Stegostoma tigrinum: one gene and its partner. The protein of the gene in region 2 interacts with the protein of the main gene of each other region in a pairwise test. Links are inferred from orthologs where the notes say so. Each region holds a gene or a part of one and is shown on either strand. Other genes may lie near its edges. The genes, in order: rbm45 and txn2.

Region 1 (16,136 bases), on a different chromosome or scaffold from region 2:
ATTAATCTATCAATTCTCCTGGTTGTTGGCTCCTCAAAAGATTTAATCAAATCTATTAAAACACGAGTGTCCCTTAACAAATCCATGCTGACTACCTCCAATTAATCTGTCTAATAACTTTCCTACCATTAATGTCTTTGACTGGTCTCACCATCCTCCCATTTTTTTTTTTAAATAATGGGACATTATCACCAGTCCTCCTGTTCGCTGGCACCTCATCTACAAGCACAGAGGATTTAAAAATTATCACCGAGATTCCTGTCTCTTCCGTTACCTTAATAGCTTGGGTTACATCACATCTGGCCCTGCAGATCTATCTATTTTTAAAGGTTGCTAAACCTGCAAGTACCTTCTGTATGTTAATTTCTTGTAATATTTCTCCATTCTCCACCTTGATGTCCAAAAATGCATTGTCCTTTTTTATTGTGAAGACTGCATTAATTGAAAACTGTGCTTAATTACTGCATCCACACACACGCATCATAATTTAAGGCTCCTAATGGGCCTGACTCAATTATTCACTTGCTTGTTATCATTATAAAGAAACATTTGAGCTTTCCTTTATTATACCTGCCAATGCTTCCCATTTCCCTACTGCACTTTTTATACACAGCTACAGCTGTATGAAGCCCTTGATGTCTGTCATTAGCCCTTTTTTCCCCTTCATTATAACCTTAAAGATGTTTGACATTGAGTGTTCTCGAACCTTTGTCCGATCACATCTCTTCAGGAAGATATTTGCCCTGTACTTACTCTATTTATTTTTCCTTCAACTCTTCGCAATGCTCTGACAGTTCTATCTGCAAGTCATTGCTTCCAGTCCACTTGGACAAATTATCTTAATTTAGTAAAATTAGCCTTCTCTAGATGAGAATTTTTATTCCTGGCCCCATTTTTTAAAAATATAATTGTCCTAAATCTAACAGAGTTATGGTCACTGTCTCCAAAACGCTCCCCTGCAGCCATCCCATGACATTCTTGACCCTGGTACCCAGGGGGCAACGTACCATTCTGGGGAAGCACATGTCTCCTCCCCTCACTAATAAATCCCCAACCACTTAAAGCCCTTCTACATTTCTTTCAACCCTTTGTGTCGCACAAACGCTAGGCAATGGCTACATACAACAAGAGAGAATTCAACCACCCTGACATTCAGTGGCATTGCCACTGAATTCCCTATTGTGAATATCCTGCGTGTGCGTGCATGTGGTGTTACAACTGACCACAAACTCAGCTGGACCAGCCAATTAAACACAGTGACTACAACGCTGGTCAGAGGCCAGGAATTCTGCACAGGGTAACGCATCCCTTATTTCTCAAATTCCTGTCCAGCTTCTACAAGGCACAAATGAGGATTGTAAAAGAATGCTCTCTACTTGCCTGGATGGTTGATGCTCTAACAATACTTAAACTTAACACCATCAGGGTAAAGCAGCTTACTTGGTTGGCACTCTATCCACAACATTCAATATTTATTCCCTTCACAACTGACACACAGCAGTGTGTAACATCTATGAGATGCACTGCAGCAACTCATCAAGGCTGCTTCAACAGCGCCTTCCACACCCATGATTTCTACCAGTTGGAAGGGAAAGGACGATAGCTTGCAGGTGATGTTCCTGTGCACTTTCTTTCCAAGTATCTCACAATCCTGACTCGGAGCTACATTGCTTTTCCTCCAACATTGTTGCATCAAGATCCTAGAAATCTCTTCTTGAGGGTGTGGGGCACCCACAGTGCTAAGTATTGTAGCAGTTCAAGGAGGCTGCTCATCATCACCTTCTCACTGAAGGTTTGAATGGGCAATAAAATGTCAATCTTGTCAGCAATACTCATATCGCTGAATGATTTTTTTTAAAGTAACAATTGTGTGTGACTTTTGCAAAATAAAACTCTATATAAGCTGCTCTTTTTATTATTTCTTCCAGTCCTTGGAGCACCTATTTCAACATAGCACATGGAAAATGCAGAAATGGCAAGATTTTAACAAAGAATATTTTAATGAATATGGTTAAACTGAAATCGAGATTTCCAATGGAAGAACACTGCCCAAAATCTATGTTTTGTTTTATTTATTCATCTGCTCTTGAGAAGCTGGTGGCAAGATAACTTCAAGAAGCACTCATTAGAACTTATTGATCATTGGACTCAAAACATGAACTTTGCTTTCTTCCTGTAAATTCTGCCAGATCAGCTGAGTTTCTCCAGCAATTTCTGCTTTTGGTTCACAATTCCAGCATCTGTAGTTCTTTGTTTTATCATTTAAAAATAAGTTTGTTTAAAATACCATAGATTGTAAAGCACAGGCTGTGCCTTTTAAATCTAGAACTTTAAAACAATAAGCAGATTGATAATCAAAACACAACGTGGGGTTTTATAAATGAGGACTGGAATGGCACTCTATTAGCTGTACCGATAAAACAATTTCCTTTACTAAGTGCAGACTGCAATAAATTTGAAAGCTCTGTGGAAAAAAGCTGGAAGACTCATTTTTAAAGTTTTATTTGTACTAAGTTGGTTTATTTCTTTTTCTGAACAGCTCATGTGGTGATGGGGCGATGATCACACATCTGTTACAATGTTTCTCTATAAAATTAGAGTATTTTTGAATTACGAATTGTTCTCCCTTTTAATTCTTTTCCAAACAACCTATATTTTTAAAGCAGAAAAAGCCTCAGGAATCACTTGATTTTCAGCAGAGATGTTTTGACAGCATACAGGGAGAAAATGTTCCCATGTTAAAGAATTAAGAATGAGAAAGCACAGATTTCAAGTAATTATTAGAAAAAAGTTAATATCAGTAATAAAACAATTGAGTGATTATGATCAGGAATGCACAGTCAGAAAGTCTGGAGGAGACATTTAATCAAAGCATTTAAAAAGGGAATTAGATGGTTTTTTGAAAATAAACAATTTGCAAGATAATGGGGAAACAGTAGGAGAATGCAACCAATGAGTGACAGATTTTGAGAAGTGGCACAGATTTGATGGGCTGAATGGCTTCCTTCTGTACTGTAAAATTTGTGATATTCCAAGCGCTGACCTTGTCTTAAACTGCTAAAGGGCCTAGTGTGGGAAAGTGGGACTAGTGCAGTTAGTAATTTTGGCAGTATAGACATGATGGACTGAAAGGCCTCTTCTTTACCGTATGACTCAGTCATTCCTAAGGTTTTGGAGTAGATCTGTGGCTCGAGTAGTGGGTGTTGAGGTTGGTTGGCTTGTCGAGATGGTTTGTTGTTCAACAACAAACCAGCTTGGCGAGCCAAACAGCCTCAAAATTCTTTAGTTCAATACCAAAAACTGTAATGAAACACTTGTTTTGTTATTGCAGTACGTTATTTACTTTTTTTGACAGAGACATATTCAGCTGTTGCTAAAACAACAACTTGTACCTATGGATTCCACATCTGGAATTAAATTTGTGACACCCTCAATGCCTTTTCCAAACAGCCCAGTTAAAAATCTGAGACTGCCTATATCTTCATATGCACAAGAGAATTTAAGTACAATAGAGTAATACAGCATGAAATATATAACTTCCTCCCATCATAACAACCTGGATGGAAGTGAGAGCTTGTTCCATTTCTCAGATCTTAGCACCTTATTTTGAGCAAAGCTGAGGCCAGGAGATTCTGGAGCCTGGCGAGACTAGATCATCATGTTCCATGAAGATGCCACCCCAACAGGCTGGAAGGTAGAGGGTAGATGGGTGGTAATGCAGACTTGCATGAAGAAATGCAGGAATTCAAGGTGTACCTCAATCTGCTAAACAGCATGGGGTTTTGATGAGACTCAACATCATGAAAAAAATATAGACTGGATCAAGGCACCAAAAGGCAATGGACTGCATAAAGGGAACAAAGGCCAAGAAAAGCAACCATTATAGGAAATTCCACAGATGGGGTTCAGATAGATATTTATGCAAGCCTGCCAATGTGTGGTGCCAGAATAGAGCCAAGGTAAAGGGCATTACTAACAATCAGATTTTCTGCAGCTAGGAAGTTAAAAGGTGGCAAACTGAAGTGGCTTCTCCCTAGGAAGATGGCTTTACGTATGAAGCAGAAGAGAGGACTTCAGATTATGAGCCTCCTTATTGAGCCTTGAGGCACCTACTCAGAAGAAGTGGGCTTTATCTCTGCAGAATCAGGTAAATTAGCATAATGAAGCAGAAAATGTCAACAGGAATAACTAATAATTCCCCTCAATGTAATCATATATTTGGACAGAGAACAAACAATAATTCAATGTATTAACTGGTGAGTAGACTTTCAGCTTCATATAGTTTGGCAAATAAAATTGGCATAGGTATTATGGAAGATGGCTCATGCTTTTCTGTATTTTCCTAGAATAATGTGTTGCGGAAACAATTGGGGATTAAGCTATTCCATATTTAGTTTTGAACTTTGAGACAGGATTAGCTTTTGCTTTGTTTACATGAACAAACGGAAAACGAGCAGAAGTAGACTATTCAGCCCAATGGGCATACTCCGCCTTTCAATAAAACCATAGTTGTGTTTTAAATTTCATATTTCCATCTACCCTAACATTTGATTTTTATAGTCTAACGTTAAATTACTCCACTTCCAGCACAGAGTTCCAAAGTCACACAACTCTTTTTTAAAAAAAATTCTCATCTGTCTTGAAAGGGTGACCCTTAAAACAGTGCTCCTTGGTTCTGGGCTAATCCAGAAGAGGAAACAATTTACCCATGTCCGCTTTATCAAGACTATTCAAGAACTCACATACTTCAAGTTACCCCTCACTCTGTTAAACTCAAGTGTAAAGACGACAAATCTGTCCAACCTATTTTCATAACGCAACGCACTTCAGCCTCAAACCTCGCCAGATCCAATTTCAATGCATTTCCACCCTTCCTCAAGTAAGAGGCCAAAAATGCACACTGCATTTGAGATGCAGTCTCATCACTATGCTGTGCAACTAAGGCATAACACTTAGTTTTTTATTCATTTCCTTTCATAATAAAAGGTTAGCTTCACGCTACCCTTGATTATATGCCGTACCTATGTTCTAACTTCTTGTGACTCATGGACCAGAACACCTAAATCCCTGTGCACCTTGGAGTTACACAGTTGTTCTTCATTTAAGCAATATTGTGCTGTTTATTCTTCCTGCCGAAATTTTAAAAAACTTTATACGTTTTCCTATATTATACTCTGACTGCCAAGTTTTGGTCCACTCAGAACCTGTCTCCACTTGCCTGGATAAAAGGGACTGCAGTCAAACCAGATTCCACACAAAGTTTGTAAGTGACCAATTCCAGTCTCAACAAAGAATTTCAGACTTAAATCCAATTACAGAAGTATGACAAGGAAGCTGGCAAAACTTGAAGATAAGCCCACAAGTTAAAAAAAAACAGGAAACAAAGAAATAATTCAAAGTGTTCAAGCAAGGGAATCACAGGAAAACAATGAAAATGAGGGACAAAGTTCAGAGTCTATAATTGCTGGACTTGATCAAAAGCATAATTTGCTGGAGAAATTCAGCAAGTCTGGCAGCATCTGTAGAGAGAAAGCAGAATTAGTGTTTCAAGTCCAGTAACCCTTGACTGGAACGAGTTCAGAAGAAGGGTCACTAAACTCAAAACATTAATTCTGCTTTCTCTCCATAGATGCTGCCAGACCTGAGTTTCTCCAGCAATTTGTTTTTGTTTCAGATTTCCAAGGTCCTTTTTTTTTGTTAGACACAATGTTGAGTTCAGAAAAAGTGTAAAGCAAAACTTCCCAAACCCTCTACTACTCATTGATCATGTTAACGTTGGAAAACTGCCAAGGTCCCATGGCAAGGAGTGGTGGCTGACATGCTATTTCTACCCGCCTTTAGTTGGGCAAAGTTATATTCAACTCAAGTTATTTTTTTCTTGTTCCACAGATAAATTTTCTGGGCCAGCTAAGTATTTCCGTCACTTAATGTAATGAAATAAACAGTTACTTTTCACAGGTCTGCACCTTCAAATGTTTGAAATCCATTTTGGTACGAATAACAGCAAAATGGACTATGTTTTAAATGGTAAAAAATTGCAGCAGGCTGCTGCGCAGAGGAACTGGGGTGTCCTTGTGCATGAATCGCTAAAAGTAGGATTGCAGGTGCTGCAGGTAATAAAAAGGCAAGGTAACACGAAATAGAGCTGGATTAACACAGCAGGCCAAGCAACATCCACTTAAGATCATGGCTGATTTTTTTTTGAGACTCAGCTCCACTTACCTGCCCACTCACCATAAACCTCAATTCCTTTACAGTTCAAAAATTTATCTAGCCTTGCCTGAAAAACATTTAGCGAGGTAGCTTCAACTGCTTCATTGGACAGGGAATTCCAGATTCACAACCCTTTGAGTGAAGAAGTTCCTCCTGGCCTCAGTCCTCCATCTGCTGCCCTTTATTTTGAGGCAATGCTCTCTAGTCCTAGTCTCACCTGCATGCGGAAACAACCTTCCTGCCTCCACCTTACCCATTCCCTTCAAAATCTCAGATGTTTCTATAAGACCTCCCCTCATTCTTCTGAATTCCAATGAGTATAATCCCAGTCTACTCTGTCTCTCCTCATAACCCAACCTTCTCAATTCTGGAATCTACCAAGTGAATCTCCTCTGCACCTGCTCCAGTGCTAGTATATCTCTTCTCAAGTAAGGAGACCAAAACTGCACACTATTATCTCTGATACAATTAAAAAGGCAAATGGAATTTCATCTGCCATTGCTACAGGGATGGAGTTTAAAAATAGGGAGGCAATGCTGCAGTTGTATAAGGTCCTGGTGAGGCTACACCTCTGGAGCACTGTGTGCAGTTTTGGAATTCAGGAGAATGAGGGGAGATCTTATAGGAACATATAAGATTATGAAGGGTATAAGATAAAGTGGAGGCAGGGAGGTTGTTTCTGCCAGGTGAAATTGGGACTAGAGGGCATTGCCTCAAAGCAAAGGGAAGCAGATGTAGGACTGAGGTCAGGAGGAACTTCTTCACCCAAAGGGTTATGAATCTGTGGAATTCCCTGCCCAGTGAAGCGGTTGAAGCTACCTCACTGAATGTTTTTAAGGCAAGGTTAGATAAATTTTTGAACAGTAGAGGAATTAAGGGTTATGGTGAATGGGCAGGTAAGTGGAGCTGAGTCTCAAAAAATCAGCTATGATCTTATTAAATGGCAGGGCAGACTCGAGGGGCCAGATGGCCTATTTCTGCTCCTAGTTCTTATGCTCTAAATATTCACCCTCGCTTATCTAAATCAGGTATTTCCATTTCCTCAGGACGATCAGGGTTCATATTCGGCCATGTACCATTAATGAATCTGAAATAATGGGAACTGCATGGAGAATCCAAGATAAACAAATCTCCCCTTCCCCCACCGCATCCCAAAACCAGCCCAGTTCGTCCCCTCCCCCCACTGCACCACACAACCAGCCCAGCTCTTCCCCTCCCCCCACTGCATCCCAAAACCAACCCAGCCTGTCTCTGCCTCCCTAACCTGTTCTTCCTCTCACCCATCCCTTCCTCCCACCCCAAGCTGCACCTCTATCTCCTACCTACTAACCTCATCCCACCTCCTTGACCTGTCCGTCTTCCCTGGACTGACCTATCCCCTCCCTACCTCCCCACCTATCTTCTTTTCTCTCCATCTTCGGTCCGCCTCCCCATCTCTCCCTATTTATTCCAGAACCCTCACCCCATCCCCCTCTCTAATGAAGTGTCTAAGCCCGAAACGTCAGTTTTTGTGCCGAGATGCTGCTTGGCCTGCTGTGTTCATCCAGCTCTAGACTTTGTTACCGTTAATGAATCCCTCGCCTTTTCTCTCTCTCTCTCTCTCTCTCTCTACTCAAAATATAATTTCGATTTTGCTAAAATAATGGAATCGAAACTGTGGTCTAAGACTTTTCAAGACTACAACAATTTAAGTCCAACTGGTTTTGGCTGCAACATAAAATCTTAAGATCTTACAAACAAGGATCAGAAGGCTATTAGTAACCAGATTAACATGCTACAGTCTCACGGGGGTTCCCACCTCATTAACTCGGGCCCATGATCAGGTGCGGTCAGAGTCGAAAGCGAGCTCCGCATTTAGCAGAAACGAAGGTGGCAGTTGTAACATACCTTGATGGGTTTGGTGTCTTCCGTCAAGGCCTTGCCGTGCATCTCCTCCATCGCTCTACAGGCCTGCGACGATTTGGCGAACTTTACGTACGCGATGCCCTTGTGATCTTTGTTCTGTTTGTCCCGCACAACCCAAATGTCCTGGATCTCACCGAAGAAAGAAAAGTTTTCTCGGATCACCTCCTCCGATGTCGATTTGCTGATGACCAGAAAGAGCCGACTGTTAGGCGGGTGATCGAGGTTTGCCATTGGACGCGAGCTTCCACTATCCTCCATGATCGCGAATCCAGCGCATACACTGCGACCACCAACCGCCAGCACGTCACGTGACACAAAAGAACAGGTTCCGCCTAACTCCGCTTTTAAGTTCCGGTCCGCCCCCGACGGGGACACGAAATAACCGGCCCCGTCCCATTGGTGACATACCGGATCTGGTCCCGCCTCGCTTTGTGATGCGGAGGAAGTAGCCCATGCCGCAGAGTGACTCCAAGGAATTGGGCCCGCCCCATTCCGTGATGCTGAGGAACTGGACCCATCGCACTCTGTGAAGCTGAGAAATAGGCCGTCGCATCTTGTTTCTGAGCTGCACTGATCTAATATCGAATGGTGGAGCAAGGAGACCTTTTTTATCGTTACCTGTTCAAGTATAAATCAAGGAACGGAGATTGTAAACATACGAAAAGAAATTTCAGCCTTTAGCATCACTCAATATTTAAAGCTTCCACGCTTAAAATAAGCACCTAATAAAAAAGTGTGTTGGCGACAGTAGCTGGGGATCAAGGTGGGAATTGTTGGCTGGACAGCGAATATTGCTCAGATTGGTGTCAACAGTACAGGATTCAGTCTCTCTTCCAGCTCTTTTTTGGGGGGGGGGGGGGGTCGGAGGTGTTGCAGCCAGCACTGTGAATTGGACCAATAGAGAATTCAGAAAAAATAGTCTGTGCATTTATGATACAACCTTGCCACACATGAAAACAGTGCTTTTTAATCGAGAATCTATTATTTATCACATTATCACAGCTATAACTTGTCTCCTTTAATATCTATAAATCTTCACCCTTTTTGTTGCCTATTTAAAATTGCTAACTCTAGTCACCTGTATACTTGTACGCTAACAGATTGGAACCAATGAAAAGGATATGCAGTACAGAAGATTAGTATGGATATGAAAAATGAATAGTTATGATGATAAAAATGGTTTTCACTACTGCGAAAGAAATCGTTAAGGGAGGGCTGTAGGAATAGTCAGAAGCCAATCAGTTTTTCTAGTCTATGATTGAATGAAACAATGATTGATCTGTATTCACTCAACAAGATTTCATTTCTCTTAACGCCATCAGCTCTCGACCTAAAATTTAAAATTATTAATTGAACTAATATTGACTGCTTTCTCCATTGCATAAAGAAGTGTTTCCTGTTTTCTTTCTTGAAAATTTTTGCTCGCAGATAAGGATACATGATAAGAGATTCCCTTAGCAGTGATCTTATCCCTTTAAAAATCCTAAAATGTTCAATCATGTTCACCATAAGTGTTCCTATATCAATGTCATCTCTCAGGCCAATATGCACAGTATCAAACCACTGGTTACAATCAATCAGTTGTGTAGGGCAGACTACATTGGCTGAATGCCTGACACACAACAACCAAAAGAAGCTTTCTAGGCATCATTATACAAAGTGGTTACCAACAGGACAGACGAAATGCTTCAAAAGTGTCCTCAAAGCCTTCTGGAACAACTCTCCAAACAGCATCCTATTCCCTGTAATACCATTTTTACCATGGCTGGGTGACCCTGGACACACTATGTGGCAATTTAGTATGGCAAATCCAGCTAACCTGCAAATGTTTGTACTTTGGGAAACAGCAGCACCCAGCAGAAATCCATGCAGACACATGGAGAATGTGCAAACTCCAGACAGACAGTCATCCGAGCCTGGTACTGTGTCCCTGGCAGTGTTAACCACTGTGCCATCCCAATATCCCCAATAAATGCATGGGAAACTCTAATCCAAGACTGTCCAAACTGGAGGAGGTTGCCAACCATTTCACATATTTCCAACAAGCCCAGATAGAGGTCAAATGCAAAAAGCATGCAAAAATCTGTGAATCACACCCATCTGCTTCAGCAAACACCACGTACTCCATCTGCAGTAGGATTTGTGGATCTAGCACTAGACTATTTTATTAGGACTGATAACGCTGGAGTTCAAGAAAGTCTTCCTTGATCCCGAGGGACTGCCTAAGAAGAACAAAAGAATACAAACTTAGTCCCTTGTCATAATCTAGGAATATCTTGGTGCTCTGTACTACAGTCTAGAATGTTAATATGTCCTTTTTAAGGTGTACTCTACAGAGTTATACACACTGTGCCAAAAAGGGCTTTGTACAGCTATGGCAAATGTTAGTCACCTCTTGTCCCTTCAATTTACTTAAACCTTCATTTTTTCATGTTATTAATGACACATAAGTACTTAAATATGTTCCTTCTCATTCAAAAAAGATTACTTCTCTCCTATCTGTGTTTAAATCTATCTGCCAATGTTTTACAATATCCTCATCATTGCTTTGTAATGCTATATTCTACATTACAAATTATGCCGCTATTCTGTGTTGTTGGTAAACTTACACGTATGGCCCTGTAGTGTGTTATCTATGCCATTTATAGTGAATAATTGATGAATGAGTACAAAACCTTCTGAAACAACTTTTGAAGTGCTGTCTGGAAACTTTTAGGGAGTATAGCTCAGTTAAGAACTTAGAAGAGGTGAGATCTACTAGTAATGTCAGTAATAGTCTTTTGCTTACTTCCACGTGACTTACAGCAACGTTGAACAAATTTTCCAATGTAAACATCAGAAAAAAATCACCAGTTTGAACATGATTTCGAACTGAGAGCTCATGGATGTAACTTAATGACCAACATCTGTTGTTTTTAGATCTTTCTGTCAAACATTTCACACATACCAATTAGTCAGTCATGTGAAAAATTATAGCCACTAGATATCCCCCTGCCAAATACAGTAGTTACTTCCCAAAAAAATCCTTTAGGTTCCTTAGACGTACCTTACCAAATTCAAGCTAACTCTTTAAAATCTTTGTTCCAGCCTTGTAAAAACCAAAAGCGTTCTGAGAAAGGGTGACAAGACCCGAAACATTAACTCTTATTTTTTTTTCACAGATACTGCCAGACCTGCTGAGCTTTTCCAGCAACATGTGTTTTTGTTCCAGCCTTATCTCTGTTCTTAACATTTATGTATCTGATTCAGAATGTATTTGGTTCAAATGTCACTCCAGGACATGAGTACAGAATTCAAGACTGACACTCCAGTCCAGTACCAGAGAGTAATTACTGGACTATGTGAGATGTTGCCCTTGGATGAGAGAATAAACCAAAGCTTTGTCTGTTCTCATAGGTGAATATAAAATATCTTATGTTACTACTCTGAAAAATATTTTGTGAATTATTCGAGATATTGTGGCCAATATTTATCTTCAGTCACAAAAACAGGATTTTCTGGCAATTATCGCATTGATTTTTGTGGGACTTTGCTGTGCACAAGGAAGAAGATGCTGTCTTTGTCTTCAACAAGGAAGAAGACATTGTATATCATGGGTTAAGACAAGATAGCTTATACACTTAAAGATTTTAAAATTGATAAGAAGCGGTGGCATGGTGGCTCAATGGTTACACTGCTGCCTCACTGTATATAGGCACCTGGGTTCAGTTCCAGCCTCAGGTAACTGTCTGCATGGACTTCCTTTGAGTGCTCCAGTTTCTTCCCACTTTCCAAAGATTTGCAAGTTAGGTGAATTGGCTAATTTAAATTGCCCATAGTGTCCAGGGATGTGTGTGTTGGGTGAAATAGCCATGGGAAATGCAGGGTCACTAGGATAGGATGGGGGTGTGAGTCTGGGTGGGATGCTCTTCAGAGAGTCAGTGTGGACTTGTTGGGCTGATTAGCTGTTTCCATGCTGTAGCAAGTCTATGATTCTAAGAACATACTGGATAGGCTGTGTGTATTTAAACTTTACCACGCAGCAGGTCAGATGTCATACATCCAAAAATACTCAAGTGAGAATGGAAACTCTGAAGGCACTAGACTTAATTTTCCAATCATCTTTACACTCAGGGGTGATATCAGAAGATGCAAGAATTGCAGACGTTATGTCCTTGCTCAAAAGAGGGAAATGTAAGCTCAACCAATTACACCTTGGCAATGGGAAAGCATTTAGGTGTTTTTAATCAGCCTATTCAGGGATGGTATCATACACATCTGGAGCAGGTGGGTCTTCAACCCATGCCTCCTGGCTCAGAGGGAGGGAAACTATCATAGGGCAAATGCAGGTCAATTCAGGGAAACCAGCTTGTTTACAGAAGCTGATGTTTAACATCCTTGAGTTTTTTTCTGCCCTTGGGTGAGTCGCTGGAGGGGAAGGATGACAGCATTAATTGCACACTTAAGCATGGGAGGATTGTGCATGAGCCGTGCTGCCATGAATTTAATCAAGGCTGACACAAGAAAGCAGTGGTGTCAGCAAAGCCCACCACCAAAATCAACATGTGGAATGACCAGCAATCAAAGAATATGTATTTAGGTACTTGACAAAAGAGCCCAAGATGATATGAGAAAATAATTACAAAGCTGGTGGCATGACCTGGAATATATTGACTGTGATGCTTGTGGAATCAAGTCCAATAGTAACGTACAAAGCTACTTGATAAATATGTGAAAAAGAATAATAATTTTGGGAAATGGAGAAAGAGCAGGGTAGTGGGACTAATTGACACTTTGGTAATTTTGATAGGAAACCATGAGTGTTTGACATCATTATTCCATTTGAAATTAAAAATAGCTTCAATATTAACAAGTACAGATTAACACCGAAGTTGAGAAATATCATTAACTGTTGTGCCACAGGCTGTGCTGTGCACACTCAAGCCCCACAACACGAGTCAGAGAACTCTGTGAAATGACTTTAACTGCTGCTTTTGTCCTCTAATATCACTGTATTCAAATAAGCGTTATTCAATAACATCTGTTTCTTAACGGTGTTCTAACTGATAGTAACTACTGAACAACAGATTTTTCTTAAAATACATAATGTAAAAGACTCCATTATGATGCGTTACTGAATTTACCAAACTACATGTTTCGAAAAATTGACGTTTAAAAAAAACTTTTCCGCTCTGTCACTATGTTTATTCCGATTTTTATTTCTCTCTAGTAACCTTGAACATGCTTCGATTATGAATGCTTTTCATATCCTCGCTGGCTGTCAGTGAGAATTATTTAGTACGACTGGCTGATTGCACAGCTTTAATGACACAACTGCAACTTTGTTCTTGGAAGCCCTGCTAAATCATGCCAAAACGAGGTGCTCATCGGGAGAGGTGAAAATAGGGAGGATTTTCTGTTCACCCAAATTGGGCAATTTCACATATATTCACATCAGATCGCTCGGTAAGTCTTCCTTTGAGGTCATCGGGTGAGCATGTTTACTTCGCTGCTGAGCACAAAATCTGTGCCTATTTAGTTGTGCGCAATCTGCACCGCCAATTCCCTCTATCCCGCCTTTTCCTAGCTACAATTAATTCTGAAAAGGATCACTGGACCCAGAATTCCGTCGCTAAGCCTGACCGCTACCCCTCTGCATTCAGGTACTCCCTCAAGTGTACGTGTTTGCTCACAAGTCCTTGCCGCTCTGATAACAGTGCAAGCTTCCGGTTTCTGAAGCCTGTTCGATGAATGAACGAAGAGATGAATGAAGGGCAAGTGCTGTGACGTTGTAGTCCAGCACGTGCACGCGCTTGCGCACAACCTGCCGCGTGTCGATCGCGAGACTGTTGACGGTTACAGCCCGCCTTCGGCTGGTGGAGAGCGAAGTGAAGGCGTCCCGAGGGGTAAGTGCCTGCTAAACAGCCCACCCCCATCCTCTCCTTAGCCCATTCACCGCTACTGTCCTCCATACAGGGCCCCGTGCGTACCCCAGGGGCGGGTAGAAGTCGTGGACGCCATCGGGTGAGTGTCCGCTGGAGGGGTAGTTAACATCGTCGGGGCTATGGATAAGAGTTTTGGAGACAATGTGGATAACTTATGGCTGGCAGCGAGCAACAGGTTTCGAGATGGATGTCTCAGGGAATTGACGTGAAATCGGAAATTCGCTACCCTGTGAAAGCGCGCAGCCTGATCCAGGTTAAGAAAGCTGTCAGGTGGGTGGTGTGAGCTGGGACTTGGGGCTGGTCATGGATGCGAAAGGTGCGCAGTTTCTGGTGTGGTCAGAAGTCAAAGTGAACAATGGAGTAGAAGTAATTTTCTGAAACGCTGTTGATTTTCCTTACCCTCCAGAGAAGCTGATGGAGAAAAAGGATTTATCATGGACTAGTAAATGGGGTATGCTCAGTGTGGTCCATTTGACAGTGGTTGGAGCAACTGGTTATGTGCTTGGATACACTTGAGCCTGTGGCTGTCAGACCTGAGGGTTTAAAGATGGAAACATATCCCTGAGAATGTAATGGTTGCGAGGTGGTGAATGGCTTGATGGGGTCGAAGGTATCCAAAACACAAATGATAAAGCAAGACAACAGTGAAATGATGACAGGAAAGCTGGAAGAGGAGGAGTTGTGTGGAACAATGAAGTAAAGAGAAAGCAGCGGATAGAAGTTGCCTCCTGGGTGAAAGGCAAGAATTGAAGAATTCAAAAATTGGTGGAAAGGTGTATACAGGAAGGGAGATCAAAAATGCTAAATTTGCAATTAGGAGTAAACAAGCCATCTTTGGGTTGGAAGGCTATTTTTATGAGTTCCTTTACAGTAAATGGCTGTTGCTAGCTAAGTCAGCATTTACTGGCCACTGCTGACTGCCCTCGAGAAGTGGTAAACTGCCTTCATGAACCGATGGAGTCCATGTGCTCACAGACACCCACTGGTTAGGATGAAAATTCCAGAATTTTGACCTAGCAACAATGAAGGAACAACAATGCATTTCGAGGTCAGGACTGTGTTTGTTTTGGAGCAAACATGAAGTTTCCTGTGGTGTTGCTTCCATTCATCTGTTACCCTTGTCCTTCTAAATGGTAGAGTCGAGCCTTGGTGAGGTGATATATTGCATTTTGTAGTTAATATACAATGCTACTACTATGCTTTGGTGGAGGAGGAAATGAGGGAAGATGGTGTGCTAGTGTCAATCAAGCAGGCTATTTTGTCTGGGATGGTGTTGAAGTTCTTGAGTGTCGTTGAAGCTGCACGCTTCAAATATGTGCTGTGTATTTCATCACACCTCTGACTTGCAGCTTTCAAATGGTGGGCATATTTTGATGAGGCAAGATGTAAGTTGCTCACCACAGAATATCTCGCCTCTCACCTACCCTTATGTTTTAATGACTGGTTGAGTTCCGTTTCTGATCAGTTGTAAACTGTAGTGTACTACAAAAGCCAGTGCCAAGGCCACAGCTGTTCATAATTTAGATAAATAATTTGGAAGGGAGAATTAAATATAACATTTCAGATTTGCTGATGACACAAAACTAGCTGGGCATAGAAGATATCAAAGATAATGGGAACTACAGATGCTGGAGAATCTGAGATAACAAAGTGTGGAGCTAGATGAACACTATCTTCTCTATCCATCTTCGATCCACCTCTCCCTATTTATTTCAGAATCCTCTCCCCATCCCCCTTTTCTGATGAAAGGTTTAGGCTCGAAACGTCAGTTTTTGTGCTCCTAAGATGCTGCTTGGCCTGCTGTGTTCATCCAGCTCCACACTTTGTTATCTGGGCATAGAAGGTATCAGGACAAGCAACTAGAGTTCAAGAGGACTTGGATGGGCTGTAATTGGGCAAGATCATGGCAGACGGAATACAGTGAGCTGAATTTTACCACAAATTGGGTGAGTGTCAATTCCAGCGAGTTTCATGAAAGGTTACTCTAGTGCATTATCTCTCATAGTTCTCTGTAGTTCACCTCATTATGTATGTACTGTGGCTCGGCAATGGCAGAACAATCAACATTGCTAGGATTACTGGCACAAAATTTAA
Region 2 (16,684 bases):
ACTTGAAAGTTCAATATCTCTGTAAGTAATTTTTGCTATGATTCATTGTCATGAGAAGGGGTCAAGCGCTGGTCATTGATAAACTAGTAGCCAATGTGCTCTGATACTGGTTTGTCACTTTGGTCCATAGTCTTAAATTTTACATCAAGGTAAAGAGGCAGTTTGTCAATTTTGTTTTGAATGAAAATATGCAGTAGGTCTCTGCTCTGGTGCTAAGTCCCCCACTTTAAAATGGTAGTCTGATGATGGTGTTTACTAAGCACTGATTTTCAATCTTCAGACCCTGAGTGAAGATATGTATGTCAAACCTTCTTGGTTCTCACACTCAGTGTATTTCTTGCATCGACAGCATAACCTGCAGTTCCAGTTTATTTACTTGGGAGGGGATCTACAGATATTTGCAAGAGCTACTTGTCTTTTAACAGGAACAAATAAGGGTCTGGAGCATAGGTGCTGCCAGCTGCTGTATTTTCAGCAGGAATGGCTGTGAATGTCCAGGAGTTATTGTTCAGAAATCTACATTTCCATCAGTATGTGTTTGCATAGCTGGGGGTGGAGAGCATGTGGGCAGCCCAGAGCAACTAGAGCTGAGAATGTACTGGATGTTGGAGGAAGGGGCCAAATACCACTGAAAGAGCTGGCACAAAGCATGTTCCTGAGAAGCATCCAACACATTGCTAAAACCATCAAGCTCCTCAAGAATGTGTTACCTAGCTCAATTCTAATTGGCACAAGCATGTGAGCCATTCCTGTCTGTGTTGATCCCTTTCATTTTGCCAGAAATTCTTGCCAGTACAAGTCTCCAAAACATCCCACAGGAGGCTCAACCCTACTTTTGGACCTTTCTCTTGGAGATCCCTTCTGTGTCAGCTGAGGGGTTTCCTACACGGATACTCTCTTATGTTCCCTCAACTTCCTTGATCGCATTAGATATCCAGACACAGTATAACATAATGCCTCATTGTCCAGAGGAGACAGATCCTAGATGGAAGCCTCTCTTTCTGGAAATGCTACCATTGTCACATAACAGGTTTGGGATAGAGAGTATTACGTGGGATCCCTGGTTGCCTGTAACTTCCATGGCTTGGAGAAGTCTGTGTTTTAGTTTTACATGGAACATGTGAGCTTGCAGCCCTCACTCACTATTTTATGGGGGTTTCTCTCAATTTCTGATTTCACTAGTAAAGAAATTCATTTCCAGCATTCTGTGAAAATGTAATGATGATGGAACGACTTAGTTCCAAGGGTAGCTGGTTGGCAGAATTCAATTGTGCCCTGCAAAAAGGGAAGTGTTTCTTACAAGTTTTTTGGAAGGTCACTCAGAATAGTTCAGAGGTCACTAAAAGCAGCTCTGGGACACTCTCTAGATGTACCGAAACTGGGTATTCCATGTTCAGAGTGCTGAATAGCTGTCTTACGTAAAGATGTTAAAAGCAGTTGATTAGCTGGGTGGTCAGGGCTGAGAAGAAGTCATGGAGAGCTGAGAGAGTGACAAGATCATTGGGTCAGTGTTGGGGTAAACTATGAGGGCTTGGAAGAAGCCTGCAAGAAGTAGTACTTCAGTGCAGCTAAATGATTGAGGGTTAAATAGCCCTTGAATTACCCCTAACCCCATGCAATCTTACCTTGCCTATTAACCTTTTGTGTGGCTCTTATCAATTGCCTTCTGGATGTCCAGATATATTATATCCATGAGACCCCCATTATCTACTTTTGTCATTATGTCTTTGAAAAACTCTTAGCTAATTAGTCAAACATGCTGACACTGATGGTTTACATTTTGACTTTCCAAATGTCCTGTTATTACTTCTTTAATAATGGATGCTAACAAATTTCCCAAAGACAGACATTAAACTAATTGATCTATAGTTTCTTACAAAAATAGAAACAAAGAACTGTGGATGCTGAAAATTGGAAACAAAGACTTCTGGAATAAGATTTGAGCCTATAACCTTCTGACTCAGAGGTGAGTGTGCTAGCTCTAAATTATGCCTGACATTTAATCCAGCCTTAAAACTACAAGTCTGAACACAGAGATAACGAGGTATAGAGCTGGATGAACACAGCAGGCCAAGCAGCATCATAGGAGCAGGAAGCTAGAAGGGTCTAGGCCCAAAACATCGGCTTTCCTGCTCCTAAAATGCCTACTGTGTTCATCCAATCTACAACTCGTTATCTCAGATTCTCCAACATTTGCAGTTCCTACTAAGTCTGAACACAGGTCCAGTGAGACTGCTAGTCCAGTGACACTATCAAAGGCTATTCTCTCCCCAAAATCTGTCTCAATTTTCTCTCTATCTTCATCAGGTTATCTACTCCAACGGCAGCCTGTCTGTATTCTGAGATTACAAAGTGTGAAGCTCGATGAACACAGCAGGCCAAGCAGCATCTTAGGAGCACAAAAGCTGACGTTTCGAGCCTAGACCCTCTAGCTCTGGTTGCTGTCTGTATTCTGATGTGGGTTCAAAATAACGTACATCAATGGCCAATGGAAGCTTTTCCTGAACTGTCAGAGTTGGATGAGCAACAACTTCACCTTTGATACTATCCAGCAGCAGATAGATAGCAGACATGGCTCAGTTGGTAGCACTCTCTTACCTCTATATCTGAAGATCATGAGATCGCGTTTTACTATAGAAACCTAAATACAAAGTCAAGGCCGGTCCTCATGGAATGCTGAGGGAATGCTATACCATCAGAGGAGCTGTCTCATTTAAACCAAAGCCCTACTTGCCCTCTCAGGTGGATACAAAAAAAATCCCATATCCCCATCTCAAGGACAAATGCCCTGTCCTAACTTCCTGACTCAGAGGCAAGAGTACAACTAAAAAGGTACAGCTGGCATGTTATGCTGCTGCTTGTGGAATTGTGCTGTGCATCAATCAGCTGTAACTTTTCCAACAATACTGCAACATCTACACTTCAATGAAAAAATGTTTAATTGGCTATGTACTGAGGTCATGAAAGGTACTATATAAATACAACTTCCTTGATTTCTCTGCAGTTCTTAGTGCCAGACAACAAAAGCTTTCTGACACATACATCAGCATTCGACATGAGTAAACTTCTTTTTAAGAACAGTAGCTGTTGCTGTCTTAAGCTGTGGGAAGATTTGGTAGGTTAGAAAACTACATGTTATGGTTGGTGTACTGAGAGAAAAAGGCGCAGACTAAAGAGTGAGGCATGGAATGTATGGAAGAGCTACTGAATTCCTAAGGCCAGAAATGTTGCTTGGAACTGACAGGTCTATACAAGACAACTAGACAGAAATCAAATTGATGTATCTGTTCTGAATGCAGTTCTCAGTTAACCTGATTTATAGGATGAACTGCACATAATACAAATGTTTAGAATTAATTTAGTTTACTTATAAATATTTATAAATAAACACATATATTAATCTATTTATATACCTTTATATGATCTTGAGACTTGACCTGGATGAAATCACAGAATTATTATGGCACAGAATAAAGTTTTGGAACAGAGTTCATCTTCTGTACAAGGGCTCTTCAGGCACAGCCCCAGGGCTTCTGTGAGGTGTCCTTCTTCTGGGTACAGCAATAACGACCCTGCCAAGAGTCCACACTTCAAGCATACCCCAACAGAGGTCCCCACTCCAGGCACCGCATCTGCCACAAGTCCCTGCTCCAGGCACTGCTATTGCCGCTAGTGATGACCTGCCAAGTCCACGTATCCAAGCTACACGTCTTCCACGGATAATAAAGTGTGAAACTGGATGAACACAGCAGGCCAAGCTGCATCTCAGGAGCACAAAAGCTGACGTTTCGGGCCTAGACCCTTCATCTGAGATGCTGCTTGGCCTGCTGTGTTCATCCAGCCTGACATTTTATTATCTTCGATTCTCCAGCATTTGCAGTTCCCATTATCTCTGATGCAGGTCTTCCACTGTCTGGTGTCCTTGCTTTAGGCACCGCAACTGCTGCAACCAAAGACCTGCTGAGTCCACGCTCTGGTCCTACTGCAGCCATAAGTCTTCACTCCGGGCACTGCCACCCCGCAGCCAATGACCGGCCTAATCCATGAGTCCACACTCCAAGCCACCCACAGCCAGGATTCCTTGCTCCAAGCACTGCCGCCCCTGCAGCCAATGCCCCACCCACACTGTTCCAGCTTCCCCACGTTGTTAGAAGATGAAAAGAAAAAACGGGAAAGAAAAAGTCCAAAAAGGATGGAGGGAGAGAAGGATGCAAATGGCCTGGAGCGTACGGGATCAGGAGACTGAACACTACCTACTTTGCCGACACCACCGTACCTGAAGACATGTCATTGTATAAATATATAGGCATAGATTGGGGAATATCTGTTTCATGATATGGAACAGAAGAGGGGAGAATCAGCAAACAGATTTGATTGACCTAACAATTTGTGGTTCTGGGTGACTGGGATTCTGCTAGGGGCTGTTTCAGAGTCATTTAATTTTCTCTTGGAATTCTCCTACTGGGGGATCATTTGATTCTCAAGGGCACCTTGCGTACTGACAGGGAATGCAATGTGAAACTGAACCATGGTTAGTACCGCTGCCCAGAACCTGGGTTCAATTCCACCTTTTGGTAACTTTCTGTGTGGAATTTGCACATTCTCCTTGTATTTGCATGGGTTTCCTCTAGGTGCTCCAGTTTCCTCTGACAGTCCAAAGACGTGCAGGTCAGCTGGATTGGCCGTACTAAATTGCCTATCCAGGAATGTGCAGGCTAGGTGGACTAGTCAAAGGAAATACAGAGTTACAGGGATAGAGTCGGGGGGTGTGGATCTGGGTGGTATGCTCTTTGAAATTTCAGTATGGACTCGATAGACTGAATGGCCTGCTTCCAAACTGTAGAGATTCTATGATTGTCTTTAGTACAAACTCCCTATGCATTTGTGGTGAGACACAAACAACATTAGCAAGGGGTGTCCTCAATACAGTCTAGGTAGAAAGACATGGAAGCTAAGGACTCAGGGAAATAAACAGTGATGTCTTGAAAAGATAACAAAGTGTGGGGCTGGATGAACACAGCAGGCCAAGCAGTATCTCAGGAGCACTAAAGCTGACGTTTCAGGCCTAGACCCTTCATCAGGGAGGGGGATGGGGAGAGGGTTCTGAAATAAATAGGGAGAGAGGGGGAGGCGGACCAAAGATGGATAGAGGAGAAGATAGGTGGAGAGGAGAGTATAGGTGGGGAGGTAGGGAGGGGATAGGTCAGTCTGGGGAGGATGGATAGGTCAAGGAGGCAGGATGAGGTTAGTAGGTAGGAGATGGAGATGCGGCTAGAGCTGGGAGGAGGGGATAGGTGAGAGGAAGATCAGGTTAGGGAGGCGGGGACGAGCTGGGCTGGTTTTGGGATGCAATGGGGGGAGGGGACAAGCTGGGCTGGTTTTGGGAAGTCCACATTACAGAAGAAGAAATGCTGGAGACCTTAAAATGCATAAAGGTAGATAAATCCCTGGAACCTGATCAAATGTATCCCAGGAAATTGTTGGAAGCTTGGGAGGAAATTCCAATGCCCTCAGCCGAGATATTTGTATCATCGATGCTCATAGGGGAGGTGCTGGAAGACTGGAGGATGGCAAATGTTGTGCCTTTATTAAAGAAAGGCTGGAAGGAAAAGTCAGGTAACTCAGGCCTGTGAGCCTGATGTCAGCGATAGGTAAGTTGTTGAGGGGATTCTGAGAGATGGGGCCTACATGCATTTGGAAAGGCAAGGACTGATTAGGGATAGTCATCATGGCTTTATGTGTGGGAAGTCGTGACTCATAAATTTGATTGAATTTTTTGAAGAGGTGACCGATAAGAAAGATGAAGGCAGATTTGATTTGATTTGATTCATTATTGTCACATGTACTGAGATACAGTGGAAAATTTGTTTTACGTGCTAACCAGACAAATCATACATCCAGGGGTACAATCAGTATAACAGAACAGAATGCAGAATATAGTGTTACAGCTACAGAGAAGATGCTGAGAAAGATTAATTCTAATATCAGAGAAATCCATTCATAAGTATGATAAGCGCGAGGAATAAGCTGTTCTTAAATTCAGTGACACATGCTTGCAAACTTATCTATCTTCTGCCCAATGGAAGAGGGTGGAAGAGAGTATGACTGGAGTGGGAGAGGTCTTTGATGATGTTGGCTGCTTTCCCGAGACAGAGGGAAATGTAGACTGAGTCAATGGAAGGAAGTCTACACGGTTTTTAGCAAGTCTTCAACAAGGTTCAGCATGGTGGGCTGGTTTGTGAGGGTAAATCACATGTGATCCAGGGAAAGCTAGCCAATTGGAATCAAAATTGGGTTGACGATAGGAGGCAGTTGGTTGTGGTACAGGATTGTTGTTCAGACTGGAGGTCTGTGATCACAGTGTGATGCAAGGATTACTGCTAGGTGATGAATGTTGTTCATCATTTATGTAAATGATTTGGATGAGAATATAGTAGGCATGGTTACAAACTTTGCTGGCATATCACCAGCAAAAATTGGTGGTATAGTGGACGGTGAAGAAGGTTGTTGTGATTCGTTGGCTCAACGAGCTAGTTTGTTGTTCCGCAGATATTTCATTGCCCTCTTGGGTAACATAATCAGTGCAGCCTCTGATGAAGTGCTGTTGTGGTTTCCCACCTGTCATTTAAACTCTGGTATCCGTTGATCTGGGTTACCTCACTTCCGGTTTTCCTTCGCAATGGTGTGTATACAGTGTCTAGCTCTAAATGTTTATTAATGGCTTTCTTAGTGGAGAACCAGGCTTCTAGGAATTCCCGTGCTTGTCTCTGCTTCGCCTGTCCCAGGATCCCGGTGTTGTCCCAATTGAACTGGTGGTATTGAAACAGTTACCCTGCAGGGTAATGAAACGTCTGTGGAATAACGAGCCAGCTTGGCAAGCGAACAAACCACAACATCCACAACCTCAGCCACAAATCTACTCTAAAACCTTAGTGAAGAAGGTTATCTAAGAGTACAACGGGATCTTGATAGACTGGGCCAGTAGACCAAGAGATGGCAGTGGAGTTTAATTGAGATAAATGTCGCATTTTGGTAAGACAAAACAGGGCATGACTTTACGTTTATTGGTAGGGCCCAGGGGAGTGTTGTCAAATAGGGAGACCTAGGGGTGCAGATACATAATTTCTTGAAAGTGGTGTCACAGGTAGACAGGGTGATGAAGAAGACATTTGGCACATTGAGTACAGGAGTTGGGATGTTATGTTACAACTGTACAAGATATTGGTAGGGCCACATTTGGAGTAAAGCGTACAATTCTGGCCACCCTGCTATAGGAAGGCTGTGATTAAACTGGAAAGGGTGCAAAAAGGATTTACTAGGATCTTACCATGACTGGAGGGTTTGAGTTATGACAGCCTGAATAGGCTGGGACTTTTTTCCTCTGGAGTGTAGGAAGCTGAGGGGTGAGGTTATGGAGTTTTATAAAATCATGAAGGGCATAAATAAGGTGAATAACCAAGGTATTTCTCTCAGCGAAGTCCAAAACTAGAGGGCATAGATTCAAGGTGAGAGGGGAAGAATTTAAAAGGATCCCCGAGGGACAACTTATTCATACAGGTGGTGTGTGTGCATGGAATGAGCTGTCAGAAAAGTGGCAGAGGTGAGTACAAGCACTTGGACAGATGCATGGATGGAAAGATTTAGAGGAATATGAGCCAAATGGGACTAGATCAGTTTAGGAAACCTGGTCGACATGGGCATGTTGGGCTAAAGGGTCCGTTTCTGTGCTGTATGACTCTATGTGAGTCACTTTAAAATCAGCAAATGTGTTTAAATAAAGTACTTCAGGTACTGAACATCACAAATAGTACTGGGAAATATTGTACTCAAAATGTTAACTCTATTTCTCTCTCCAGATGGTGACGGACCTGTTGAGTTTCTTCTATTTTTAGACTAAATGAAGATGTTATTAGTTAGCTCTGGGCATTTGTATCTAATGTGTAAAATGACAAGTCATTTCCACCCTATGATTTTGTTTTAGCAGCTTGTAGTTGTTGGGCACATCAATATAATTTGTAACTGTCTAATAAGCCACTCGAAGACACTGCAAAATCAAAGCATCAGCCACAAGGGTCAAAGCAGCAGAGGGCAGTGGGCGGGGTTGGATGACACACCACGTGATACTTAACACCGCCCACGAGATCCTTTACAAAGATGATGGTCACCTCTCTCCTCCCCAATCTCCTTTGTATCTCAGTCGACCTCTGCCCACCTTCCCCCCATTTACAAATCGAAAGGAGCAAACTGTCAGCCCGGTCCATCCCTAAACAAAGGAACTACTTGGATTCTCCAGCATCTGCAGTTCCCATTATCACTGATACATCTGCGCAGTTGCGCCGATTCCAATATCGTGAAGAAACTTGGGAAACAGTTTCCAGGACGTGACGTAAGTTAAACCGGAAGGTACTTTGGCCTCGTGTGGAAGCTGGAGAGGTGAGAGAGAAAACGGAAAAAGAATAAAAATTCGGAGAGGGAAGAGAGCGAGAAAAGTAATAAAAGTCTTATGGTGGGGGCGGGAGAGAGAAGTAAATGGGAGAAGGTGGTATTGTGGTAATGTAATTGTCTAGTGACCTAGAGGTCCAGGTTAATGTTCTGGGGACTCTGGTTAAAATCCTGTCATTGGCAGCAATTGGAATTCAAATTCAGTTTACAAGGTCTGGCATTGAAAGGTGGCCTTTGTAACGGTGGCTATCGTAGATTATGTAACAATCACGGACTGTCATAAAAACCCAATCCATGTCCTTCAGAGAGGGTAAATGAATTGTTAACCTTGCCTGCTTTGACCTGCACGTTTCTCCAGTTCCACAGGAAAATGATTGACTTTTGAATGCCTTGAGGGTAGAGAACATACATAAACCTGGTGTAGTGTGTGCGTGGAGAGAAACTCAAGGAGAGGGACAGATAAGGCCTTTGTTGGTTTGTAGAGAAAGTTAACAATTACCTGTAGATGGACTACTGTGGCAATAATCAGTGTAGGAGTGTTAAATATTGATTTCCAGCCTATTGGATTTGTAACTGTCAGCTGGGATGGTCTTGGAGTGGGAGAAAAATGTTGAATCCAGGATGCATGTGGGGTGAGTCAAATTGCTTCTTGCTCCTTCATTGTAATGCAGTGACCCTCTGTGAATATCTGCTGAAGATGTAATGTGATTGGAATTCCTGTAGCCAATCAGACTGGCTTGCAGTCACTTTGAATAAAGCAAGCTATAAAATAAGGTCTGACGTGGAAATGTGCAGCTACCAGAAAGCAATTTTCAGTGCTATTTGAGAGATCTCAGATACCGAAGCTGCCCACTGCAGTAAGACCAGGACAACATCCAGGATTGGGGCCAAAAAGTGGCAAGGAAACATTTGTACCACACAACTGTCAGGCAGTAACCATTTCCAATAAGAGAAAGTCTAACTTGACATTCAATGCCATTACCAGCACTGCGTCTCCAACTATCAACATCCTGGGGGTTATCATTGAATAGAAACTGAACAGGACTCTCCACATAAACGCAGTCCCTACAAGAGCAGGTCAGAGTAACTCACCACATGACTCCCTGAAGCCTGTCCATTATCTACATAGCACAAGCCAAGAATATGATGGAATATTCCCTGCTTGCCTGGATGAGTGAAGCATGACACCATCCAGGGCAAAACGCTGCTTGATTGCATCATTATTAACAAACATTCAATCACTCTATCACCAATGTTTGTAGCAGCAATGTGTACTGTCTACAAGATGCCCTGCAGAAATTTGCTAAAGATCTTTAGACAGCATCTTCCAAACCCACAACCACTATCACAAGGGCGGAAGATAAATGGGAGCAAGACCACCTTCAAATACCCCTTCAAGCCACTCAGTATCCTGACTTCACTGTCTTTCCCCCTATCCCAACAGCATTGTACCTATAGCATATGGATTGTAGTAGTTCAGGAATGTGGCTCATCAACAGCAACTCAAGGACTGGCAAGTGCCCACGTCCTACAAGTGAATAAATGAAGTGGTTTGTTTCTGGGCGTCTGTGACACTTTGGGCACACAGGCAGGTCCAATTATTTGCCAAACCATGACAAATTGCTTTCTTCCCAATAGGTTGAAAAACTCAGTAGGAGCAAGGTGGCCCATTGAACAAACTCCCTTTATTGAGTTTAGCAAAAAACAAGCTGAATCCTTGATAGAATCATCAGATCCCTACAGTGTGGAAAGATGCTATTCAGCTCATTGAATCCACACCGCCTTTCTGAAGATCATCCAACCTAGGCCTTACCTTTGCCCCATAACCCTCCATTTTCCCATGACTAATCCACCAAGCCCACACATTTCTGGTCACTATAGATAATATAGCAAGGCCAGTCCACCTAACCTGCTTATCTTTGGACTGTGGGGGGAAACAGGAGTACCTAGAGGAAGCTCACTCGGACACAAGGGAGCATGTGCAAACTCCACACAGTCACCTGAGGCTGGAATCAAACCCGGGTTCCTGGTCTGTGAGGTAGCAGTGCTAACCACTGAGCCACCATGCTGCCCCAATCTGTGGCATCATCATTTTTTGGTAGACCAGTGTGTGGTCTGATAATAGGATGTTCAGAGAGTGGCTGCTTACTCTAATCGCTGTATGATGAGCTGTAATGCTAGTCCTCTGCTCTTTGTTCTTTGTGCGTTACAAATTGTTTGTGCCTGACTCCCTTTTAATACAGAAATGAAGATGAAATCTTTTCTGAGGGTTGTTGGAATGCAGCATTCTCTTCACCAGAAGATAGAGGAGACTGGTTTTATTTTTGATTGAAATTTAAAGATCTCGTGGGGGGTGGTGGTGAATGATGTACATCTCATCTGAAGTCCCATGTTCTTATCTCTCTGAACTTAGTCCTGTGCAATTGCTGTAGTATGTCTGTGATATTTAAATGATGATTAGAATTAATCCATGTGATCTGCTTGATTTTTGTTTTCTCCCTCAATGGAATATTCTTGTCCCTGCAAGACAACAGAAGCTTCAAGCTTCAATAGAAATGCCCTGACGTGAATTTGTACAGGCTGTGGAAGCACTGTTCTCTTATGACTGATGTAACTTTCCTGCATTGTAATAAATCCTATTGATTGGCTAAGTCCCTGGTCTGATCTTCTGCTGTTCTAGGTTGCAGAGACATTGATGATTTGCACTCTGCTGGCGTCCTTAGCTGGGATAGTATTAATTCATTTCTAGGGAGCAGCTACATATAAATACAAACTGAGTTAAACCATTCAACCCCTTGAGATGCTACCACTATCGGGTGCCCAGAATATTTCATCCATGTGTGCTGTTCAGAAGAGGCAAACTATTTGCTTTCAGTCACAGTTAAGTCCAGTTCTGTCCTTGCTTAGTCTCCACGTATAGACACTGGTTGCCACTCACTGATTGTCTCCAAACTGGGGCAATGCTAATATGGCTTACTGGGTGGTGTTCATAGCCAGAGGCTCTGGTTTCAAGCCCAACTTTGGGAATAGTTGACCATAGAAGGAACATTCATGACTTGGTTCATTGGGCTTATAGTCAGACTAGTAATTCTTCCAACACATCCCCACTATTATCAAAACAAATGTGTGAAGGTACAACACAAGCCTGTGAATATACTGCATTCTACTGGAACACTACCACCTGCAAGTCCTACCCAAGTCTCACGCCATTCTGATTTTGAACTTTATCACCGTTCCCTCACATCTTCCCAGCAAATGGAGTGATGTACTAAGCACCACATGGATTGCATTTTCAAGCATGCAGCTTTTAACTCCTGGTCTAACCAGCACTGCCCGCACCCTATGAAATAAAAAACAAGATCTAATTTGAGACACAATTTGCCACCAAGCAGGTATATTATCTGTGAATGTCACTGGTCAGGATGGAACATTGCTTGTTGCATGGATTGATACCGTTTATTCAACAGTTGTGTAATGCTGTCATTCTGATCAATTGAAAAATTGACTGGACCTTATTTAAAGTGAGGTAACTGGAGGCTGTTGCTGTAGTTCAACATTTAAAATTGTCTGCAGGTTCTGACACTAACAGGCTGCTTTTACAGATGGCTCAAAGGCTCTTGCTGAGGAGACTCATCTGCCCAAACCTGAGGAAATCCTGTGGCTCAGTGTGCTCTCCACCCTCAGCTTTGTTGCCCAGCCTGAACACACTCTCCTGGCATAGCCACAAGCCTTCCTTCATACATCAAGCAGGTTCACCTTTCTCCAGAGGGTTTTGTGATTCTCCAGCCTGTAGTGACACTTTCAATGTACAGAACAAGACAGATTTCACTGACCGAGTTCTGAACAACAAAAAACTGGTTCTGGTGGATTTCCACGCAAGGTGAGTTGACTTTGTTCCATTTCTTGATGGGTTTATGCACCTTCATCACTACATTTTGGGCAATGCTTGACAATGTGGTCATTGCCTAAGTGCAGTGGTCTGCCCAGAGGTAATGTGCTGGTGGGCTTAACCGAGCAGACCAATGTTAGTGAGAGTTGAGGGTGACTTCAGTTTTGTGAAGAGAAACCGTTGGTCCTTTACTGCTGTCATAAAAACCTTGAAAGATTTTAAACTTTTGTTAAATTTTTTCATATCCACCTCTGCTGTAAGGAGGACATCAGCTTTTTTAGTTCTCCAAAGAACAAAGAAAATTACATCACAAGAACAGGCCCTTTGGCCCTCCAAGCCTGCACCAACATCCTGTCGCAACTAAAACCCCCTACCCACCCTTCCGTGGACCGTGTCCCTCTATTCGCATCCTATTCATGTAAAACTTGCCTCATATATCACCTTTAAACCTTGCCCCTCACACCTAAACCTATGCCCCCTAGTAACTGACTCTTCCACCCTGGGATAAAGCTTCTGACTGTCCACTCTGTTCATGCCCTTCACAATTTTGTAGACCCCTATCAGGTCACCCCTCAACCTCCGTCATTCCAGTGAGAACAACTCAAGTCTGTCCAACCCTTCCTCATAGCTAGTGCCCTTCATACCTGGCAACATCCTGGTAAATCTTTTCTGTACCCTCTCTGAAACCACCACATACTTTTACTAGTGTGGTGACCAGAATTGAACACAGTAGTCCAAATATGGCCTAACTGAAGTTCTATAAAGCTTCAACATTACCTGCCAATTTTTAAACTCGATGCCTTGTCCGATGAAGGCAAGCATACCGTATGCCTTGTCGACTACCTTCTCTACCTGCGTTGCCACTTTCAGTGACCTGGGTACCTGTACACCCATATCCCCTCTGCCTATCAGTACTTTTAAGGGTTCTGCCCTTTACTGTATATTTTCCAACTGGATTAGACCTTCCAAAATGCATTACCTCACAATTTCTGAATTAAACTCTTATCTGTCATCTCTCTGCCCGAGTCACCAACCGATTTATATCCTGCTATATCTTCTGATGGTCCTCATCACTATCTGCAATTCCACCAACCTTTGTCATCTGCACATTTACTAATCAACACAACTGAAGATCCTCATAAGCCCCTTTTGCACCATTCTAAGAACTGAGGATCGTTCAGAGACTTGTAAAATGAACTAAATTTTCCAAGACTTTTTTTACTGAGAATCAGGGATTGGAGAAGTTATACAGCCAAACAAAATAGAAGCACACCTTTCAGTTCAACCAGTCCATGCTGAACATAATCCCAAGCTAAACTAATCCCACCTGCCTGTTCCTGGCCCAAATCCCTCCCAACCTTTACTATTCATGTACTTACACAGGGCTCTATGCCTCTTTAAGTGAGGGAAGCAAAACAAGGCAATGTCTCAGCCAGCAGTCCACCCCCTTAAAAGCAGCCAGTCAGAGCAAGATTGATCCCAGGAGCGAGAAAGACAGGATCAATGAGGAACTGCTGCTGAGCATGGCTCTGGGCTAGATTGCTGTCAGCTGAGGTTGGTGGGGTGGGGTGAAAAGAGGAGATGCTGTAAGAGAGGGACAAATGATGCACTTCTCAAGGGAGTCAAAGAAGGAGCTGCAAGGTGGGCGGTAAAGAAGGAAGCTCCAAAAGGGTGGTTGGAGAAGAAAGCTGCAAAGAACAATGGAATACTCAATTATGTGTGAACCAGGAAAAGTTGAAATCATTGAGGTAATGAATTAATTGAAAATAAATGTGAAATCTCTAGCTTATGGCTGTGTAAGAACAGGAGACAAATGTAAAGGATGCTGTTATAGTCAACATGTCAATTGTTAAAATTTGAATTGTGAATGAGAGGTAGGATATTGTTAAGCTAGACAGGGTTCAGAAGAAATTTACCAGGATGTTGCTGGGAATAGAAAGTTTGAATTATAATGAGAGGCTGGATAGGCTGGGCCTTTTTTTCACCAGTGTAGGAGGTTGAAGAGTGGTTCGAGTGAAGTTAACTTTTAGAGGAAGCGGTGGATGCAAATACAATTAAAACATTGAAAAGACATTTGGATCAGTACATGAATAAGAGGTGTTTGGAGGGATATGGGCCAAGTGCAGGCAGATGGGACTAGTTCAGTTTGGGATTATGGTCGGTATGGACTGGTTGGACCGAAGGGCCTGTTTCTGTGCTATATGACTGTATGGCTCCAGGGATGGAGGCTTGCAAAAAATTTGAGGTTGCATTCCTTGGATCTAAGAAGCTTTGATGAAGATGTATAATGTTATGAAGGGTTTACATTGAATAAATAGAAACTGGTTTCAAAAGCTAAAGGATTGATGATAAAATGAAGCAGGTTTAATTTTATTTTAAGTTGATTGGCAAAAGAATCAGAGGCAACATGAGAAAAATGTTTATACAAACAATAGTTGTGATTTGGAATGCACTTCATTCCTGAAATTGTGGCAGATACAGATTTGAATGTGGTTAAAAGAAAATTGATGAGAGACTTGTGGGTTCAAATCTCACATCAAAAACTTAAACATTAGAAAGTGGTATTGAAGGAAATCTGCCCATTTCAGGGGCAGTCTTTGAAATCAGTTGTAAAACTAAGACCAATATTTATCCTCAACCAAGATCATTCAGTTAGTGTATCTGGTCATTAGCAACCACCCAAATACAAGTGTGATAATGTGCAAAATTACAGGGTTAATACCTCAGCAGTACTTAATTGACCATAACACTCCTTGGAGTATGCTGAGGGCAGGAAAAGCACAAGGTAAATACAAGTTTTTTTTTGATGTGGGCTCAGAAAGCAGTGGCAGGGCAGGTGAATCGTAGAATCCCTATTGTGTGGAAACATGCCATTTAGCTCAACAAGTCCACACTGATGATCCTCTGATGAGCAGCTCACCCTAACCCTGCACCTCCCATAGCTAATCCAAGTAGCCTATACATCCCTGGACACTACGGGCAATTTAGCAGGGTCAATTTGCCTAACTTGCACATCTCTGGACTGTGGGAAGAAACTGGAGCACCCAGAGGAATGTGCAGACTTCATACAAACAGTTGCCTGAGGTTGGAATTGAGGCCAGGTCCCTGGCGCTGTGAGGCAGCAGTGCTAACTACTGAGCCACCGTGGCTTCCCCAAAAATGACACTTTGGAATTGGATTGAGCAACACCTGCTAGGTAAATGGTGTCCCTTTTCTACTTGTTCCTGTTTTTTTGTGACTCACTTGACAGGAGCAGGGAGCTTTGTCTGAGACAGGGCAGCACAGTGGTTCACTGGTTAGCACTGCAGCCTCACAGCACCAGGGTCCTGGCTTCAATTCCAGCCTCGAGTAACTGTCTGTGTGGCGTTTACACATTCTCCCCGTGTCTGCGTGGGTTTCTGCCGGGTGCTCTGGTTTCATCCCACAGTCCAAAAATGTGCAAGCTAGGTGGATCGGCCATGCTAAATTGCCCGTAGTATTCAGGGGTGTGTGGATTATAGGGGGATGGATCTGAATGGGATGCTCCAAGGGGCGATGTGGACTTGTTGGGCCGAACGGCCTGTTTCCACACTGTAGGGAATCTAATCTAATTTAAAAAACACTGTTATCTGTGCACACAAAGCAAATGCTCTTCTAAAGTAGTAGATTGGTCATGAATTTCCATGTCTTATTTTCCACACCTGTTGTACACAGATTGAGGTGAGTGCTCATTTGTGCTGAGTTTAGTTTTTTTTTAATGTTTTGGGTTTGTACCTCTGAGGCAGAAAGCATGTCTGAACTAATCTGCTTTCCTGCAGCGCAGAAAGAGAGAAGGAGAAAGAGTCCTTTCAGCTGTAAAAGCTGGAATTTGATCCCTGGTCCTCCCCGGGCTATGCTTTCAAAAACTGTTTCTTCCAGGTAATGGCTATGCTGCTCCCAGATTTAACTGAATTTTAACCCTATATGGCATCACCTGAAAACTGTTAACCATGTTGAAAGTCAAACCAAGAACTGCAGAGCCATAGCTAAGGGGCTAAGAAAAGTCTAAATTTTTTCGGAAGTGTAGTAGTCACTGGTAATGTTGGTATTTATTGCCTATCAGTAATTCCCCTTCAAAGAGTGGCTGCGAATTGTTCCAACATAGTGTGCTGTTCAGTGGGGAGACCCAGGTTTCAACCCAATATCAATTCAAGCAATATATTTCTAAGGTGCTGTGAGAATTGGAGAAGAAATTGTAGATGCCAACTGTAATCCTTTGAGACCCAATACCCCTTCGTTCGTAAATGTCCTTGGTTGACTCTTAAACTGATTGTTTTTTCCCACCTGAATCCAGTGAATGCCAACAGATAATTTGACTTTGAGTCTCCCAACCAA

What was found.
Region 1: the proteins of txn2 (region 2) and rbm45 interact in binary tests that used the Homo sapiens proteins (3 or more experiments, as listed by UniProt). The two-hybrid records come from large-scale screens. The link is inferred for Stegostoma tigrinum from reciprocal best matches to the Homo sapiens genes TXN2 and RBM45.

Annotation. Positions count from the first base shown.
Region 1 is NC_081360.1:44,822,415-44,838,550, forward strand, and holds the start of rbm45 (RNA-binding protein 45), read right to left. Parts: upstream 8,452-16,136; 5' UTR 8,377-8,451; coding exon 8,101-8,376; intron 1-8,100. UniProt on the Homo sapiens protein: RNA-binding protein with binding specificity for poly(C). May play an important role in neural development.
Region 2 is NC_081391.1:3,477,612-3,494,295, reverse strand, and holds the start of txn2 (thioredoxin, mitochondrial), read left to right. Parts: upstream 1-8,176; 5' UTR 8,177-8,386; exon of another isoform or gene 8,387-8,433; intron 8,434-8,790; exon of another isoform or gene 8,791-9,074; intron 9,075-9,447; exon of another isoform or gene 9,448-9,519; intron 9,520-12,044; coding exon 12,045-12,322; intron 12,323-16,684.